Drosophila melanogaster: one gene and its partner. Changing the gene in region 2 together with the main gene of any one other region gives a genetic interaction. Each region holds a gene or a part of one and is shown on either strand. Other genes may lie near its edges.

The links. A genetic interaction does not mean that the proteins touch.
Region 1: of asp (region 2) and rod, changing one suppresses a phenotype caused by changing the other (phenotypic suppression), as found in Drosophila melanogaster (one study listed by BioGRID).

The regions. Positions count from the first base shown.
Region 1 is NT_033777.3:31,578,634-31,588,000, reverse strand, and holds the start of rod (rough deal), read right to left. Parts: upstream 7,051-9,367; 5' UTR 6,979-7,050; coding exon 6,883-6,978; intron 6,821-6,882; coding exon 6,483-6,820; intron 6,394-6,482; coding exon 6,046-6,393; intron 5,986-6,045; coding exon 5,786-5,985; intron 5,722-5,785; coding exon 5,513-5,721; intron 5,458-5,512; coding exon 4,757-5,457; intron 4,697-4,756; coding exon 3,429-4,696; intron 3,368-3,428; coding exon 2,973-3,367; intron 2,913-2,972; coding exon 2,404-2,912; intron 2,346-2,403; coding exon 1,976-2,345; intron 1,919-1,975; coding exon 1,654-1,918; intron 1,584-1,653; coding exon 758-1,583; intron 699-757; coding exon 65-698; intron 5-64; coding exon 1-4. Other genes in the region: pygo (pygopus), read left to right, coding at 8,371-9,367.
Region 2 is NT_033777.3:24,750,771-24,760,585, reverse strand, and holds asp (abnormal spindle), read right to left. Parts: upstream 6,738-9,815; 5' UTR 6,546-6,737; coding exon 6,531-6,545; intron 6,459-6,530; coding exon 6,282-6,458; intron 6,230-6,281; coding exon 6,017-6,229; intron 5,938-6,016; coding exon 1,056-5,937; intron 996-1,055; coding exon 694-995; intron 630-693; coding exon 354-629; 3' UTR 73-353; downstream 1-72. Other genes in the region: tld (tolloid), read right to left, coding at 7,166-8,112, 8,169-8,737, 8,791-9,052, 9,104-9,815. UniProt on the Drosophila melanogaster protein: Required to maintain the structure of the centrosomal microtubule organizing center (MTOC) during mitosis. May have a preferential role in regulating neurogenesis. Required for germ cell mitosis and oocyte differentiation.

The sequences.
Region 1 (9,367 bases), 6.8 Mb from region 2:
TCATCTGCAAGAAGAGTTAGAGTGACAATAGAGCATTTCGTTAAAGTGCGCGGTTCGAGCATACCTTTTTGATCTTTTGGCGTTGCTCGCTGCTCTGGCAGAAGCTGAGTAGAGAGGCGGCCATGTGCGGTCGATGGACGACGATGCAGAGCTGGGCGAACTGTAGCAGGTTGAGGGCGTGCACCACCGGACAGCCCTGCAGGCGCAGCAGCGTCTTGTGGAGCACCTCTTCCTGCTTAAAGGATCGTAGCTCGACTGCGTTCTGCAGAGGATGGCAGAGCACATAGTCCCAGGCCTGGGCCAGTCCATCCAGGTGAAGTAGATGCGGCCGGCAGCTGAGTACATCCAACAAGGCGTTCAGCTCGCGCACCATATGGAACATGACCATGCGCTTCAGAATGCCGTTCCAGATCTGCGGCAAGTGTATATCAAAGCCCAGGCAAATGTTGGCCATGACTTCCAGCGAAAGGGGATTCTGCGCATTACGCTGCCAGATCATCTTCAGAATGTCAATCTTGTTGCAATGGTCGTCGGAGAACTTCTCCAGGTTCGACTTGTAGCCCAGAGCCTTGAGCTCGTGCACACACTTGATGCTGATGAACTGGCGTTGGCTAATCGTGTTGGTAAAGGAGTTGCTGCCATCGTTTAGCTTGGAATAGCACTCGTACATTTGCAGCTGTGTGGAGGTGTTTACCGAACTGGTGGAAGGGTTTATTCAATGAATTATTTTCGCTAACTTTTAAGTACCAATCCTTACCCGCCCTTGAAGATCAGACCCACAAGGAACTTGACTGCCTCCGCCTTTGGCCAACTGGAAAGTATGTAAAACGCTCTATTTACGTTCTCGCTGGCGTCCTGGCTGTTGGAGGACTCTGCGCCGTTGGCCTGCTCCGGCCAGTTCTGCTCCTCCATGAAGGTCTCCTCCAAAATGGTACCATCACCCGCAGACTCCATAGTCAGAGCGAGCCACTTCTGTAGCAGGCGGTACTGGATGGTGGCTAAGCAGAGGTCGTGCAGCTTGGCTATCTCTGCGACCAGAGCGTTAATATCCACTTTGCTGGACTTGAGGATCAGCTCATGGTGGTAGAGCGCCTGAATAAGCTCGGTGGGGTTCTCAACTTGGCGCAGTAGCTTCTCATCGGTCAGGCCATAGACATACAGCAGGTGCTGGGTCTTCTGAATAGGATACCGTCGCTTCACCTTGGCAACCTGCTCGCGACTCTTTGGATCTGTAATCAGGTGGCCCTTCTCCTTGACAAACTTCCAGCACTCGTAGGAGGCCTCCACCTGATCGGCTCCATCACGAGCATAGTTGGACACGAAGTACAGTATTAGAAATGCCTTGTTTGGGTTGTTCACCTTCTCGACCAGTCGTAGTATTGACTGCAGGAAGGCATTATTCGTGGGATGAAGACTCCATGATTCCGAATCATTTTTCGACTTGTACTCCGATATCGAATTCTTTACTGCTGACATGCAGAAGTAGTCACAGTTCTGGGAACTATCCTTGGATCCCTTCAAAGCCGTGTACATCTGAATCAGTGGAAACCAGCTTTGGCAGTTGTCCACGTTTAGTTCGCTGTCTGAATAGAAGAAGCGGAAACTATAATTAAACAGAAGCATTAAGCATTAAACTATTTCAGTTGAATATACCAAGAATATCCTTAAGAGGTTGCTCTACGATGGGCTTAAAAGGCAGACGATATCGAGATATCTTCGGCATAACGCCATTTTCCCTTTGTGATTTCAGCCACGTGTCGGTTTCCACCTGACCTGGCCGATTGCGTCTTCTGGTGATCATCTTGTGTCTCAGGAAGTGCAAAATGTTCATCCAGATTTCCATTTCCTTCGGAGCCGAATCGAAGTACATTAGGATGTTGATCACACACATGTACAACTCGTAGAAGTAAATGTTGATCTAAACGATTTGCAAAGATATTAAAAAAAAGATTATTTGTGGCATCAGTGAGCTTACGTCTTCAATAAAGTGTTTTAACTTGGAAGTAAAGAGCTCGACATTATTGATTTCATTAATGTACGGTTGGCACATATCGCGCATTTCCTGGGCGCTGCTTAGCATAACCAGTTCCTCGTCGCCGAAGGTATCCCTCTTCACCTCGAAGCGCAACTCCTGGGCGCTCAATATGCTTAGTATCTGGGTAATAAGAATCTTTTGGTAGTCGAACCCAAAGTCCTTGCTCATGCGTTCCAAAAGCTGAACGTCAAGTTGCTTATTGTGAAACTCCTTAAGCAGGTCCTCTATGTTGTCCATGTCGGCATTGAACTTGCCCTTTATTCTATGATCCTGTTGGCAAAACTCCAGGTAATAGAAGAGTTTCAATCTCCTGCAAACCAATAAAACGAAGTTTAACATCTAGACTTTTAATGTAATACTTCACTTACTTGGTGCGTATCATGTGCACACTGTCCAAGTCTTCGATATGCTCGTGGTACATGGCGGATAGTGTCAGGAAGTTGATTTTTTGCAGATCGGTCTTTACTTCAACGGAGAGCTTCTCCAGCAGCGCTAGTGCCTCGCTGTCCACCACCAACATGGTGAAAAGCTCTATGAAGTTCACATCTTTGCTCCCCATCGCATTTCGGAATATGCGGCGCAGCTGCAGCGTAATAAAGCCCTCGTTGATGATCCGCTTCGTGCGACAGTTTTGCTTCTGGAAATCCAGCAGATATTGCGACATAACGTACCAAGCGTCGTGCTCCTTCACCTTCGTCAAGTGCTCCAGTGACAGAAAGAAGTCAGCGCAAGCACTTTCGACATCCGCTTTTGTGTTCTCCGGCAGTTCATTGCGAACCTGCATCAGCAATGAGTTGTTTGGCTCCGTTTCGATTACCATAAGCAACAGAGTGCGAGCCAAGAACTTCACTATTGCCATGCGACCTCCGACGCTTTTCTTCGAAGACAACAGAAAGCATTATAACTATAGTCAATTATAGCTGTCTACGATCAATACCTTCTGAGGCTGCTGCTGGATAGGCTGCACTTCTACTTCATCAAACATGGACACCGAGTAGCGCTTCTTCGTAGTCGTTGGAACCGTCAGAGTCTTCACGTCAAAGGATCCGTTAAGAGCACAACTGAAGTTTATTGTGGTTTCGCCCAGGGCTACCGAAATCCCATCGAGGGCCCGGCAGATGTGCTCGTTGACGGCCTGCTCCTTGCCGTCGTAGTGACTCTTAATGGCGTCTAGCGGGTAGTGGATTACGGCCACGCGTATGTATTTGATGAGTTCAACTAGATCGTGACGACGGCTGCTCTCGTGGAGCAGGGCGGAGGTGAGCAACTCGTACGCTAAATAAAAGCTAAGCGGATCGTTTTCATTGATCAACTGCAGGGAGGAGGCCGTTTCTGCAAAACATAAATGGATTTTTCGTTCAATCCCATTGTTGCATAGCTGTATACGACTTACCCTGATTCTTTCCCTTGGCGCTTTCAATTTGCTGAACCAGCAGCTCAAGTGCAAGATTGACGAACTCGCCTGCATTGGCGGGCACACAGTCGACGAAGCTTACAACATGATAAGCGAGGGCGCAGCTGAGGGGCAGGCATCCAATGCGTTGGCAAATGCGGTGCAAACCAAATACTTTCGGAAGACCGAGAGCGGTACACAGTTCGCTTATTTCGCTGGCTATGAATGCGGACACATTCAGCGTGGCCTGGGCCCGCTCAATTATCCTTTCAATGGCCTCATCCAGAAGGCAATGACGTCTGTGCAGCGGTATCAGCTCGCTGCTGCAGCTCAAAAGGATGCCGAATTTCCTTAGGCGGAAACGATGCTTGATCACTAGGTAGCGGCGCTCATAAACGGACTCAACATGCGGCAAGAACAACTTAAAAAGCTCAAGGACGTTCAGGTGCTCCTGCACTTTAATATCACTTTCAAACGAAGCAGAGGAGCTGTTCTCCAAGATGTTAGCCATGATCTCCACCACTTCCTTCGCGCTCTTCGAATTTTTCTCACCATTCAGCTTTTTGAAGAATTCATAAGCCATCTCAACTTGTCCTCTCCGTGCCATTTGATAGCAGCAGTTAAAGTTGGCACTAGTTGATAACTCCGGCGCCGCCTTGGTGAGGGCGCTGATGTCGTCCAGCATGTCCGGAAGGTTCAACTTCACAATGCGCATCATGAAAAGCTCCAGGTTGATATCGGAGCTGTCGGCCGGCCAGCCGTACTTGACCTTCATGATCTTAATCACCTGAATCTCATACTCGGCATTGATCTTCACGGCCAATGGATGAGTGGAGGCACGCAGCCGGATTAGAGGAGCTAGTGTATCAGGCCAGGGCACAGGTGCGTTTTGCAGCACAGACAAGGCGCACTCCAAACGGCTGTCTTCGTTGTGAAGCAGCTCAATGCAAGCCATCGCCCGATCCAGCCATGAACTAGAAGATAGCCGACTGGCTACTAACTGTGATATGTACTGTTTAATCACGTCCAGTGGCTGCCGTCCCTTCTCCTGGAAGATCGGGTACATGAAGTTCTTCACCAGACGCTGAAGCTTATCTAGTTGAACGTGTTGCAAAATGCTCAACGCAGTGGCGTCGATGGAATCCTGCATGTAGTTGTCCAGTGTAAAGCCCATGTTATAGTTGGTCTTAAGCACAGAAAGATCCTGCAGTGCGTTGACAAGATCCCGCAGTTTTCCAACGTTGCGCTCTTGCTGACGCCGCACATCGCTGAAACGGATATACAAGTTAAATCTATCATATTTTAGGGCGAAAAAAGGATTTGCCTACGAGTAAGTAAACTGGATTTCCTCAAAAATGTCCAGTATCTTTGTGCAGAACTCCAGGCCGATATCCGGCCAATGCGGACTATACTGCAGATTCCGCGTCATCTCAATACTCCAGTCAGTGATAAAGGGCATTATGCTAGGATGGGTGTTGCTGACCATCGGAATGAACTGACGCAACCACTGGACAACGTTGAAGGGCTTGGTGTTGCTCGGAATGAACCCTAAAAGCGTGCGCAACTCATCTTCGTTTAGCAGCGGCAGAATGCTGCTCGAATGCCGCCGCCAAATGAGACAAGCCGTGGGCATATCTGTGTTGAATAGCGACTTGACCATCCTGACCAAGTTGTTATCGTAAATAAACTTCTGCCAATCCGTGTTGCATTCGTAGGGATCTATTATGGCCAGAGTTTTAAGTCGGTGCAGTTGCTCGTCGATTTCCAACATATCCTCCTCGTCGTCCTCAAAAGTCAACCGCTTCTTGACCTCGTGAAGATACCGCTCAAGGATGTGCCTCGAGTTCAAGTTGATCATGCGATGGCTCTTTATGAATGCCTTACTTTCCACCTGAGACAGCAGTTGCAGCAAGTCTTGGAATTTAGTGTCCACGTTTTGTGAATTCGAGTTGCAAAGCTCGACCAAAATGCGTTTCGCTTTGGCTTCATAGATGGGCTGGAGGCACAGCTCAAACTGCTTGCCAAATTCCTGTTGCAAATGTTAATGGATAATGAATGACTAAGAGATCAATTATACTCAATACCTCAGCCTCCTCCAGTCGCCCCTTGCAAATCAGCTTCTTAAAACGATCACTGGGGTCGGTCTCGGAAACGAGCATCATCTCCACCACGGAGGGTATGCTGCTCTGGTTGACTTCCTTGGCAGCCAGATAATACAGATTGACCGCACACTTAGGCTGACGCACAAGCCATGCGTGATCAGGAACTTCTACCTCGTTCTTCACATTGAGCGCTGCAATGACACAAGGTTTTTAGCCTTACTGTATGTTTATGTTTTATGTTTGCTGGACTCATACTTGGGTACTCCACTATCTTAATGAAGCGTCCCTCCGCCGTTGATTTCGTCAGCACCAGAAGCTCAATGTTATCTTCGCTGCACTCCATAACCAGCAGATCCTCGATGAGCAGATTTTTTTGTTGGGTAGTTTGACACATGTACACTGTGCGAGTGTATGGACAAATCTCCACCAAGTGGCCGGAATCGGTGAGTGCGATACTGCAAAACCCAGATACACGTTAGAGGGATTCTAGCACCACAATAAGCAAACCCACTCACATATAGTGTTCCAAGTTGAAGATCTGCTTTAGGCTGCCGTACTGAGCGGGCAAATTTATTCGTGTCACGTCATTGGCTGCATTCCTAAAGTTCATAGTGCTTTGATCTCCAGTGATAACTAGACCGGGTTGCGCCTCCAGATCATCCTGATTGTTCTCGGCACTGATGTTGCCGGTCAGCAGCCGCTTGAGCAGCACTGCACAGTCCACGCTGCACGAGGATCTGCCCTTGGAAAGACGTTGAATGGTGACGTCCTCGAGCAGGGCCTTTTCGCAAGCTATAGTTTCGTTTTCATTCAGGCTCATATTGCCTAACGTTTCCAAGCAGGTCTCATCAATGTCGCTTAAGCTACACAGCGTTTGAATCGTTTAATGAAATAATGTCAAGATCCAGTTTTATCACGCATATGCCAGAGCCCATCTCTGTGAATGGCTTACCTATAGATGCTTCCATTCTTACAGGTGAAGTAAAACCGCTGATCCAGTTGATGGATGCTCCGGAAGGTCCCGCCAGTTAGGCTCACGTCCTCCAGATTGACGGCCACGCTGAACAGGAGCAGGCCCTTGATGAACACTCCGTGAACTTCGCCATCGCTGAGGCCGCATACAATCAGGTTGCCGCTTGAAGAAATGGCAATGGCCTCAATGGCTGCCCCGAATGCCAGAAAGCTGCACTTGGCCACCAGTTCGTCCTCCAGGAGCAAAAGGCTCTTGTCGATGCCAATGACCATCTTGCCGCACTGCACGGAGGCCATGACATCTGGATATTTGTTTACCTGACAATGAAAGAAGGCGAGCGTAGAAACCCAACTGCAGATTCTGCACAATAAGGACTCACTTCCTCTTCACTGCTTATTTGGAAGATGCCTCGCGACGAAAATATGTTGGAGATGGTTTCGTCCTCCAGGGAGGACGCCTCGAAGTTGCTCCACATTGCTGTTCAATCCGCTCTAGCCTAATGTGCAAAACCTGCCAATTTTAAACTCTTTATTTAAACACCGCCAATAAACAAGCGTCGCCTGAGAGTTTGCCGATAACATTACCCGCATATCGATAGACGATTGGCGGCATGAAGACACACTACGTATTGACCTTGGGGCTAATACGTTTACGCAATTTATATTTATTACTTAAATGACGTATGTCCAAATCGTAATTTCTCCTTTAAACCTATTACTTTTTAAATGTTAACGTAGTTGCAAACTACTTCGTGCTGGCTTGCTTTGGCCACACTGAGCCGCCGACGGAATTCCGGCATTTCTCTTGACGTGCGCAAACGGTCACACTGGCGGACTTGCAATGAAAATTATTTATATTTCGCTTCTTCGCACGCAAAAATTGGTCAAAATAAACAAAGGTTAATGTGCTGCTGCTATATAACGGTTCAGTGGTCAGTCCGCCGGACCGCCGAATCCGCGTAACGGTAATCCGTGCGTGTGCCGCTCCTATAAACGGCGCTAATTAAAAGTGGATGCTGCAGTGGCCATCAAATCAACAAAAAGCCAACCGAAAACGCAGGCTTCACAAATCGCGTAAACCCTAACACAATTTCCTTGGGAAATAACCGCCGGTTGTTTTGTTTTCCGATTAAAGACAAACGCAAAAAGAACCCGTAAATAAACAACAGTTAAGCGCTGCACTGCAATTAAAACGGAACGGGAAGCGCAGCGGAGGACATAAAATCGCTGGCAAGAAGAAGAGCGCTGCCAGAAAGCGCCCTTTGAAGGGTTTATGAAGGGGAATTAGTGGCAAACCGCAGTGCAGAGTGCTAAAAAAACGAACTCCTGACCTGAAGTGATCAAGGATCAGTAAGAAACTGAGAAGCGGCAGGTGCTTGGCGCTTTGAAACGAGACAACACGACGCTGGGTTTCCAGGGTAGAGTTGCCAACCCGAAAAATAAGCGGGGTTGCCGTTCGTTGCGCCGAAAGTGTTTACCTGCGTTTTGGGAGTCAGTTGCTTTAAAAACGCGATTTTCATAAGGGTCCTGGCCAGGAGATGTCTTGGTGAGTAGTTGAGGAGGACTGACCCACAGGATGCCAGATACTCATTTGGCACCCTTCACACTCCCAGGAACTCAAACTCCAGGCGGTCGCAGGCCGGATAACCGGCAGAAAGCCCAAGCCCACCAAGCATAACCCATTGTAGTTGGTCACCGAAGGATCCAGTGGATTTGTGCCCACCTCCCTAGGGACATCAGAACCAAACCCACTCCTTTACCAGCGTCGAGATCTCCTGCGCGGGATTGGCGACGCCGCTACAACCGAATTTCTTGCCCCACGCCGTTGAAGAAAAGCTGCCACCATTCGGAAGAAGAACACCTCGAATATGACCCACAATCTTGGTATGGCGCCATATCGATTGCCGGGTCCAGCGGGCGGACTCTGTCCGCCCGATTTTAAGCCGCCGCCTCCCACGGACATCATCTCGGCGCCGAGCAATCCGAAGAAGCGGCGAAAAACCTCAAGTGCCGCCAACTCCGCTGCAGCGGTGGCTGCGGCGGCGGCTGCAGCAGCTGCTGCGAATTCCATGCAGCAGCAGCAGGCGCCACCCACACCGCAGGATTTGCTGCCCCCTCCGCCAATGGGAGGCTTCGGAGACACCATTATTGCCTCGAATCCATTCGACGACAGTCCCCAGGTGTCGGCGATGTCCAGCTCAGCGGCCGCGGCGATGGCGGCCATGAATCAGATGGGCGGCGGACCAGGAGGTGGTCACTTTGGCGGCGGTGGACCGGGTGGGCACCCGCACTGGGAAGACCGCATGGGCATGGGCGGTGGACCTCCTCCCCCGCCTCACATGCATCCCCATATGCACCCGCATCATCCAGGCGGACCTATGGGTCACCCACATGGCCCACATCCGCACATGGGTGGTCCACCTCCAATGCGAGGAATGAGCCCCATGCACCCCCATCAAATGGGACCGGGACCAGGCGTCGGACTACCGCCGCATATGAATCACGGAAGGCCAGGGGGACCTGGTGGTCCTGGAGGACCCGTCCCAATGGGTAGTCCCATGGGTGGAATAGCTGGCATGGGCGGCATGAGCCCAATGGGCGGAATGGGAGGCCCCAGCATATCACCCCATCACATGGGCATGGGTGGTCTGTCGCCCATGGGAGGCGGTCCCAACGGACCCAATCCGCGAGCCATGCAGGGTTCACCGATGGGCGGTCCGGGGCAGAACTCGCCAATGAACTCACTGCCTATGGGTTCGCCAATGGGCAATCCAATTGGCAGCCCGTTGGGCCCTCCCTCGGGACCGGGCCCTGGGAATCCCGGCAATACCGGCGGACCACAGCAGCAACAACAACAACCTCCGC
Region 2 (9,815 bases):
TGTGAATACATGCATACCTACCCGAATAAACATAGGCGCAGCAAGTCTGCGTTAGCAAATACACTTGAATTTGACTTTCAATTGTCTTTATTCTTCAGTTTCTTTTGTGGTTTCCTATAAAAACAATGCACTTAGTTTTCATTCTAAAATATTAGTTACATTTTTCGTTTGCAGCATATACATGTTAACTTAATACTTAATTATTTTACATTGTTAAGACGGTCTTAGATTATCTTAAACTATTTCTAATTGTCTCCAAAAAACTAGCATGGTCTAAGAATTTATGTGACTATTTTAAAACACAACACAGAATGGTTTTAACATTAAACATTTAAAGATGAATTTTCCTAAATCTAAAACATGTCGATCTGCAGCTTGCACAAAATCGTATCGAAGGCGTAAACGGACGAGATAAACGTGTAGGGACTGTAGCGGATGATTCCGAAGTCCGGCTCCAGGCTGGGCAGGGAACACGGCGTGAAGTTTATCTTTTGGCTCTTATACCGTCCACTTGTCATTGGCGGCGGCTTGCGTGCATTTTGCTTCATCTTTTCCTTGCGGGCCACGAGCTTCTTAGTTTCGCGCACCATGTAAATGGCCTCTGGGTTGGTCATATAGTCGTGAATGATCTGGAAGGCATTAAGAATATGATTAAAAACTCGCTAAAACCTAATCCTCTCGCTATTTAGCTACCTTTCGCTTTTTAGGACAGTGGGCGAATACCCAAATGAGGGTGCACAAAGTGTTGAATATCTCACTGTCTTTGTCGCACCAGCGCAATAACATCTGGGCAATGGTGACCAAACCGCCCTCCTGGAACGTGTTCACCGTGGTGCTATTGTAGCGGGCCAAATTTAGGATGATCCGGCTGCAGCGCTCTATAAGCTGCTTATCCACCTCTGATCGAATGGCCTGAGCCATGATGCCATAGCAAAACGTGGACATGAACTCCGAACACCACATGAGCAGGTGTGGCACAGTGCGCGAAAGACGATCTGCCGGGATTATTAAGCAGGATTAGTTATAATAAGGACTAACGTAGCTGGATCACTTACCCAATCGACTTAGCACTGCTAACGCATCTGATGCGATAAAGCGTCCGCGAAGGAAACGCACCGCCTCCTGGACTTTGCAGCGCACAGAGTTTACCGCCTTTGCCTCTTGCCGCAGCTGAGCAATACGCTTCCGGATATCCAAGAGACCCTGGTGCTTCTGACGTCGTCGGATTAGATAGCCCCGCCAGTAACGCTGTATAACCTTGGCGGCGCGCTTCTGGCGGATGAGGTCCATCATCTCGGGTGTCATCAGGGCCTGGAATCGTTTGCGAGCCATAAAGCCGCGGGCACGTGCCTGGAAGCCCGGCATGGAACAGCGGAGCAGTTGGAAACAATTACGCTGCTCAATCATTAGACGCTTGCCACGGAACTTTTGTTGCAAATGGACTGCAATAGTACGCAGCTGGACAAATTCCTGGCGTGCCTGCTTCATGCTGCGATTAGCACGGAATTTGCGCTGCACCAGGATCACAGAGGATTGGATTAATTGGTAATCCTGTCTCGCCTTTAGCATAGCACAGCGAGCACGAAACCGGCGCTGGATCACTACGGCAGCCCTTCGCTTCATCTCGAATTCCCTGCGCTGCTGACGCATCAGTAAAGTTGCTCTGATAAATGCCTGCATAAGTCGCACTTTGCGGATGGTGCTTAAGAAGATCTCCCGTTGGCGACGAGCCTGCACTGTGGCCCGCCACTTGCGTTGAATGCTCAATGAACTGAGTCGAATCCTTCGGTAGCCCGCTTTGCACAGCCGCATGTCGCGTATACTGCGCCACCATTTCTGCAAGCGGATGACTGCCTGGCGCTGTTTTTGGTAGACTTCAATCTGCTTCCTCATCTCCAGATTGCCGCGGTATCGTCGTTGCACTTTGATAATGGCTTCCCTTTGCTTTTGGTACAAGACCACCTGCTTTTGCATTGCCTTCTTGGCTCTATATCGGGTTTGAATGGTAATAGCTGCCTGTTTCAGCTGGGCGTAACTCTTCAACTGCTTGATCATATTCAGACGAGCTCGGTACCGTCGCTGCAGTGTTATTGCTGCTTGACGCAGTTGTAAGAAACTGTTCCTCTCCCGTTTCCTAAGGAGATGATTACGCCAATGCATCTGCAGGCAGCTCACAGCAGCCTGGGTGCCGCGGTACTTGGCTCGCATGAACCGCATTGATTTTTGAGCATGGAATCTGCGCTGCAGCTTTATGGTAACCTCGCGCAGATGTAGGTACTCCTGGCGCTCCTTTCGCATCTGCAGCAAAGCCCGCCGACGTTTCTGGACTACAAGGGTAACCTTTTTCAGCTGAAGAAACTCGGCTCTTTGCTTTTTCATTTCGCGCTTGGCACGGAACTTGATTTGAATTCGTTTGGTTGTCGTTTGGAGATGAAGGTAGTTCTTCCTTTCTCGACGCATCTGCAGAGTGGCTCTCCAGCGCCTCTGGACATTGATGATACATTTGCGGGTTCTTAAATATGCATTTCTATCCTGGATCATTTGTTGACGCATGCGGTAGCGTTTTTGAACTAGTATTGAAGCATTTCGCAGCCTCAGATAATTTTCCCTCTGTTCGCGCATTTTCATGATGGCCCTCAGTCGCTGTTGCAGGCAGATAACATTTTTTCGCAGGGAATAGTAGTGATTACGATCTATTCTCATCTGGATTGTGGCTTTCCTGTAAGCCTGAACTTTAAGAACGCTGGAACGAAGTGCCAAATAATCAGCGTTGCACTTTCTCATTGAAAGCTTCGCTCGCCAGCGTTGTTGGATATTTATAGCTGCACGCTTTAGTTGCTGGAACTCCTTGCGCTGCTCCAGCATACTCCACTTGCTTCGCATCCTGCGCTGAACAAACATGATGAGGTCCCTCTGGCGCAGGAACTGCTGTCGCTGAATTCTGCCCAGCTGATAGCTTCGCCATTGCATTTGAATATAACTAGCAGCTGCCTGTTGTTTTTGCGATCGCTGAAGTCTGGCTGTTTCCGCCGCCGCCAATAGTTTTTTGGCAAAGAGTCGTCGCCGCCAGATCCGCTGAAGAAAGATCGCAGCCTCTCGGAGCTCCACAAACCGCTGGCGGTGCTGCCTTCCCAGTTGTTGGGCTCGCCACCAGCGCTGGATGGTGATAATACTGTGATAGCTCTGATATAGCTGCTTCTGGGCCAAATACCGACGGGTGAACTTTTGCAGAATTATTGCGGCCTGAGTGCGTTCCGTCTTAAACAACTTCACGTACTTTCTCATCTGGTGGCCACGGAACACGGCCTGAATGACAGTAGCGGCCCGGTGGCGACGCATAAGCTCTTTGTGGCGAATGCGACGCTGGATAACAACGTGCAGCCAGTGACGGCGCCACCATTTCTGGAGCACCGTGGCCGCCGCATGAAACTTGGGCGAGCGGAATTTGTAAATAAGTTGCCAGAGCAGGGAAAGCGTCTTCTCACGATGTCCGTCAACGATGTCTTGGGCGGCGATGTCGCCGCCTAGCTGGAAGTTGGCTTCACCAAGTGCGCCCAGAGCTAGCTTTACATTGAAGATCCGCTGAAGGCGAGAGATGGCTGGCACCCTTAACTGGCGGGTTAGATCATCGCGTAGTAAAATTACCTCCATGACTCGGGTTAGTCTCACGCCATCTCTTAGGTCCACAGCCAAGTTGTTGAAGGCATAATCGAACTCGTCCAAAAATGTTTGGCGGTGCTGTAGAACGTAGCCCAGGCGACGAAGTTCCCGCGTAATATCACCAATGTTGGCGAGCAGCTCCGACGAGAAGCGCAGCAGAATATCCTTGGTCTCTTTATGTGGCGACTTTTTAACAAACAAACAGGGATTGTGCTTGACGATGCGCTTCTGCTTAGCTTGATCGAGGAAAAGCAGCAAAAAGAGGATTTTCTGCAATGAGTGCTTCTTAATGGTCTCCGCGTACTCTTCGGTGAGTGTGTATGCCTTGCTGTACCTCTGCTCCTCACACTTATTCCGGAACAAGCGATTGAGGATAAAGGTGCTGAGGCCTACAATGTCTCGATTAGACTGCATCTGGATCTTCTCGCCAAAGACCACTTCCAGTCCAAGGCGCAGCCAAAGGGGATTGAAGCAAAGCAGCAGCTCAAGTATGGTGCGTTGCATAACTACGTCTAGGTGAAGATTACGATCGCTACGGATGCGCAGAGCTTGCTTGTTGACATATACGGCCACTTTGGAGCATGGCAGGCGCATCTGCTCACTGAAGAAGAGCTCCACAGCCGCCTTACGAAGCGTCTCCAGGCGGTATTTCGTTAGGTAGTTCATAGACTGCTCCTCCTTGGTGGGAGCCACCACGAGCTCTTTGTTGCGCACCTCGTTAAACAGCTTACCAACGTCTATTTTGTTATTTAAATCTGCGTCCAGGTCAGCGGGTATGGAGACAAGGGCATTTAACCACTTTTTAAAGTCAGCTTGATGACGATCCACAGCCTGTTCATCCAAATACATGGTAGATGCCAGAAATGGATCAATTGTCGTAGTTGCTGCAAATGGATCCGGGTTGATGCACGTCTGCATATACAGCTCCGAGTCATAGAGCTTGACGGAAGGCTGAATGCTAGTGTCCCTGACTTTTCGTGGTGTGGCGGGCTTCTTCATCAGTGACATGGTTTGTGCTAGCTTAAACTTCTTGGATTGGGCGTGTGGCCAGGCGTGGGCACTACTGCTTCTTGCAGATGCATTTGCCGGCGCTGCACTTCTGGGCAGAGTAGTGTCCTCAACCCGTTGCTTTTTAGGAGGGGAAATGGCTACAGTTTCATTGCGGTACAATGATTCGTTGCTAGGTGCATCCGAAAAACTCAACTCATGAGAGCGGCGCTTGTGAGGATTCTTCACCGGACTTCCCTTCACCGACTTCCGACCTACTTCATGGAGATTAAAACGACTGGACTGAGCGAGGATCTCACTGTGGTTGAATAGAAACTCCTGCTGGCCGGCCAAACTAGCCTCGCTACTAGAGGAGCTATTCAAGTCTTTGGCCTTTATCTGGATCTGCTGCTCCTGGTAATATCTATTCTGTTCGATCGAGCGGATTTTCATTTCATTTAGATTAGGCATAGACCCTTGAATGGCATACTTAGTTTGTGGCGATAGAAGTGACAAATCTTTCATGGACTCGGAATACTTTCGTAAGGGTGAACCCACCAACTTAATGTCCCTCTTCAGGTCGTGTATGGCGCTCTTCGTGGGCGTCCTAGGTGGACTTGGTCCCTCCTCCTCATGAATACAGGCCAGAGCTCTGGTGTGCGTGGCATGCACAATGGTTGTTGTCTTATTTAGGGGCGTATGCGGTTGTCCATCGATCCTGGAGCAGTCCAAGGTGTCCAACGAAATATTGATAGTCTCGGAATGCTTTACATCGAACGTTTTGTTTGTGGCAGGCTGATCTTCTAGATCATCTGGAGTGATTCGACGCGGCCGCATATCATTAGCACATGATTTTACATTCCCTTTAAGTGTTGGTGTGGGCCAGGCTGCCAGATTGTCCGGGAAAATGGTAGCTTGTCCTTTGCCACGGGTTTCGGTGAGAGGTGTGAATCGCAGATTGTCAATCACGTCGAGTAGGTTTCCTGGCGTCATAGGGCTTAGATTTTCCTTAAGACTGCGAGGCTGTGGTGATATGTATACGGGCTCTTCTTGTGGAGTCTTGTATACATTCTTCTCGACAAGAGGAGCCTGTGGAGGTGGATGTGCCCATGCAGCGGGACGCGAAGGAGCAGTCACTCGCCATGTCTGCTTGGAGGGAGGCGCTGCTGCTGCAGACATGCGCTTCTTTTGCTGCACAGCAGCGGATACCACGCTTTTCATTGTCTTGCCAGCTCCTGTCGGCGATTTCAGCTGCAGGGTCTTGCCGACAGTAGGAAATTTGCGCGGGTTCTTCAGGTAGAAAGGTAAGAGATACATGCAAAAGAGGGTATGTAAGTAAAAGGGGTGGCAAATGCATTTTTTGACTGACCTTGACCGGCTGGTTGCTCTTGGACTTGAGTATGATCATCACCTCCTTTCGGAAGTTGCGGTTGTCTATTAGCTGCAGCGTCTCCTTGCAGGCCACCTCAAGGACGGGGCTCCACACTAGCTCCATGGATACCTCATCTCTTGCAGGCACCGTGTGCTCCATCCACTCCAGGCTTAAGTTGTGCTCCTCCCGGATGGCCTTCATTACCTTGACCTGTAAAACATTGATCAAATAACAGTTGCCAGGCCGTATGCAACCCACTAACCTCGATGTCGTCGTCGCTGGGATTGAGAACGCGCACCTGGCGCCGTGCTGTCTTTGTTATCGGCACATCCTCGAACTGCACAATCGCCTTGGCGGAGAACGGAGCCATGACGACGACGGCGGGCTCGCGTCCTTCGGCGCGCTTCTTTTGCTTTAGGCGCGATGGCGTCACTGTGATCTGTAAGTACCGGTAATCTAGTTATTTCTCGGAAAATTATTGCCGGAGTTCCAAAAAGAGGACTCAACTAACCTCAAAGGCGCTCATTGCAGGGAATGGCCAAAACAGAAATAACTTGAACTAAACAGAAACGGGCTCGCAGCTAACTTAGTGGTCCATTAACACAGCGACTAACTAATCAATTAACACAATTAACGAACAAAAATTAAACAAATTAGAGCGTCGCCGCACAAATCCAAATTCGAACTGAAATTCGAAACGAAGCGACGCCGATACTCGATTGCTTGATTGCTGGAGCAAAGGGCTATCGAACAATTCGACCTATCGATTGTGAAATGTTAGGGGTCTTCAGAATGGTTTTCGATAGACTTAAAAATATAAGGATTACATTTGTCCGCAATTTTTAAACATAAATTATTTAATATGATAAGATCATTCTAAGGAATATTATTTTGTGTAATTTTACATAAATTGTGAGTAACCCAGATGTGTTAACACCACCAATCGATATCCTCAGTGTGAACGTTGCACAGTTTTATAGCGCCAAATTCAAATGTGTATTATCACAGATATAAATATTATGTGCCTTTAAAAATAAAATATAGGGTAAACAAAATGACTCGAAATATCTTTTATTCACAATCTATTTACAAATTTCAACAACAAACATTAAACTCTAAATCCCTTCGCTGGACCTCTCATTTTATCTAAATGAGTCTGCTGGGTGGCAGGAGGTGGTCGCTGCCCGTTTCTGAGGAATACATGCTCTTGAGATAGCCCGGAAAGGGTGTAACCGCGTCGAAATCCTCGCCAACAGAATCTTCCGGTGGATCCACGGCCATGAAGGAGATGGCGAAGCCTCTCAATGAGTTACTCTCGTCCGTTTGGAATCGCAACAGAAGGGTGTCCGAGTTGGAGATTATGATTGGCGGCTTGTGCTTTCCGCAAAATCTGCCGTGGATAGTGTTCATTGAGTAGCCCTCCTCGGTGATCTCCAGATAATCGTAGTCGCATCGCTCCGAGTACTCGATCTCGAAGTGTAGGAAACGGATCTTGACACTGCTTTCCGGGTCTGCCTGAATGCGCCAATCGCAGTACATGTTCCGCTTGTACGGCCTACTGCCGTATCGTGGATGCGAGTAGAAGGTCTGTGAATGATTTGTGGCCCTCAAGTAGCCACCACATTCGGAGACAAAGGTGGCCTTGAAACCCTTTCTCTGAAGACCCGCATCCGTGGCCAGTACCATAAACATCTCATTGGTGGAGGCAATAACGGCATACGGTTCACGTCCACCGCAATAGATGCCCAATGTTGAGCTATTTTCGGAGCGACCATCATAGATAGCCACATAGTCGTAGATGCACTCCTGGTGGCTCTCCACCTCAAAGTCGTGGAATGTCAACTGTATCCGGTGGCCCAGTACGGTCTGAAAATGCCAGTAGCAGTAAATGTTTCTTGGATAATCCTCCGGATAGTTGGGACTCTGCAACACTCCATACGACGTGGTGATCTCGAACTTGCAACGCGTCTCCGTGCAGTTGTGTCCATTTTCAGCCAATGTGTATCCATTGCGGCAGCTGCACTGATAGGATCCAAAGGTGTTTCGGCATCGGTGCTGACAGCCACCATTGTTCATTGAACACTCATCCACATCTGTGGAATAATGATATTATAGATCGTACGTAAATTAATTTTTTTCTGTAAGTTACCTATTACAAACTTGGCCACAAATCCACTTCTCTGGACAGTGCGATCCGAGTAGAACTCCAGCCTGAGGATACTCTGCTCGGAATTCACCACTGGAGGTAGTTCATGACCACAATAAATGCCAATCTTCTTCAGGCGATTATCCCTCATTTTGGAGTATATAATCAGGTAATCATAGTTGCACTTGGTGTAGTGAAACCGTGTGCCCTCCAAATCAAAGTGGGAAAAGTTTAGGAACACCGCGTGATTCGGTGGCGCAACCACTTCCCAAACGCACTGCTTGGAGTTGGGATACACATCCGGATACGATGGTGAGTAGAGCGAGCCATTGGATTTGGTGGCGTCCACGACTCCTCCACACGCGTCCTCGCAGGTCTTTCCATTTGCCTGCAACTCGTATCCCGCTCGACAGCCACATTGGTAGCTACCCAAGGTGTTGATGCACAGGTGCTGGCATCCATGATCCGTGAACTTGCACTCATCCACGTCCAGCATCAAGGCGGCTGAGAATCCCAGCTTTTGCACCGATGAGTCGGATACGAAACGGATGTACATCTGGTTACTGCGGGTTCTAAGTGGATATTCACTTGGTTAGTGATCATTTTTCCTTTGAAAGTAACTTACTTTATGTTGGGCGGCAGTTTATCTCCGCAGAAGCGTCCTATGAGCCGCGAATCACTGTGATTGCCATCCCGTATCTCCACAAAGTCGTAGGCACACCCGTCGTGCTTCTCCAGCTCAAAGCTCTGGAACTTCAGGGCCACCTGGTGGTTATCCGGAGCCGTGATCCGCCACACGCACTCTTTGTCCGGCATGTAGTCCATAGGATAGTTGGGAGAGTCTATGGACTGATCTTTGGTCAGCTTTAAGTCCCCACCACATACCACTGGAATGGAAAAATTAGTTTGTGTTTTTCTTTGAAAAGTTTAAAACTTACCCTCGAATCTCGCCTTGAATCCACGGTAACCTTTGGCTGCATTCCTGTTGACATAGTTGAGAAGCATGCGACTTGTCTGGGTGGTGATGACCTCTCCGCTGACATTTCCGCAGATTCGTCTCACCAGTGGCGATTTGTGCCAGTAACCATCCCTAATCTCCAGGTAATCCTGAGTACAATCGTCGGAGCTCATCAGATGCAGCTGCTGCAGATGCAGGATGACCTTTTCCCCATTGGTGGCCGTGATCCGCCACTCGCAGTTGGTCAGCGAGGCATCGAACTCAGATTCCGCGGACGGATCTTCCCCAGCATCACCACTGCCCTCGAATTCGCTGAGTACTCCATTGCCGGAGTATATAAAGTGTGGACTCACTATATGTCCAGAATTCTGCTGATATGTTCGTCCACAGGAGGCGCACTTATAAAGCAAATTGGCTTGAACAATGTCGCCGCGACTAAGACGCTTCCGCTGACCCAACTCCAAATGGGTTCCGGGTGGAATCCCTATCGGTGTGATGGTATCCAGGTAGGGACTCTTCGAGAACGAGTTCTTCGCATAGTGCATAATGGAGTTAAGATCGTAGGGCAGTAGAGGCAAGTCCACCTCCTCCGGCGAGAGTACATCAAAGTTGTACTCCTGACCCCTCATGATGTTCCCCTTGTTAATCACGATGTGTTTATCTCTGTCACCACGGGCGTGTTCATGGTGAAA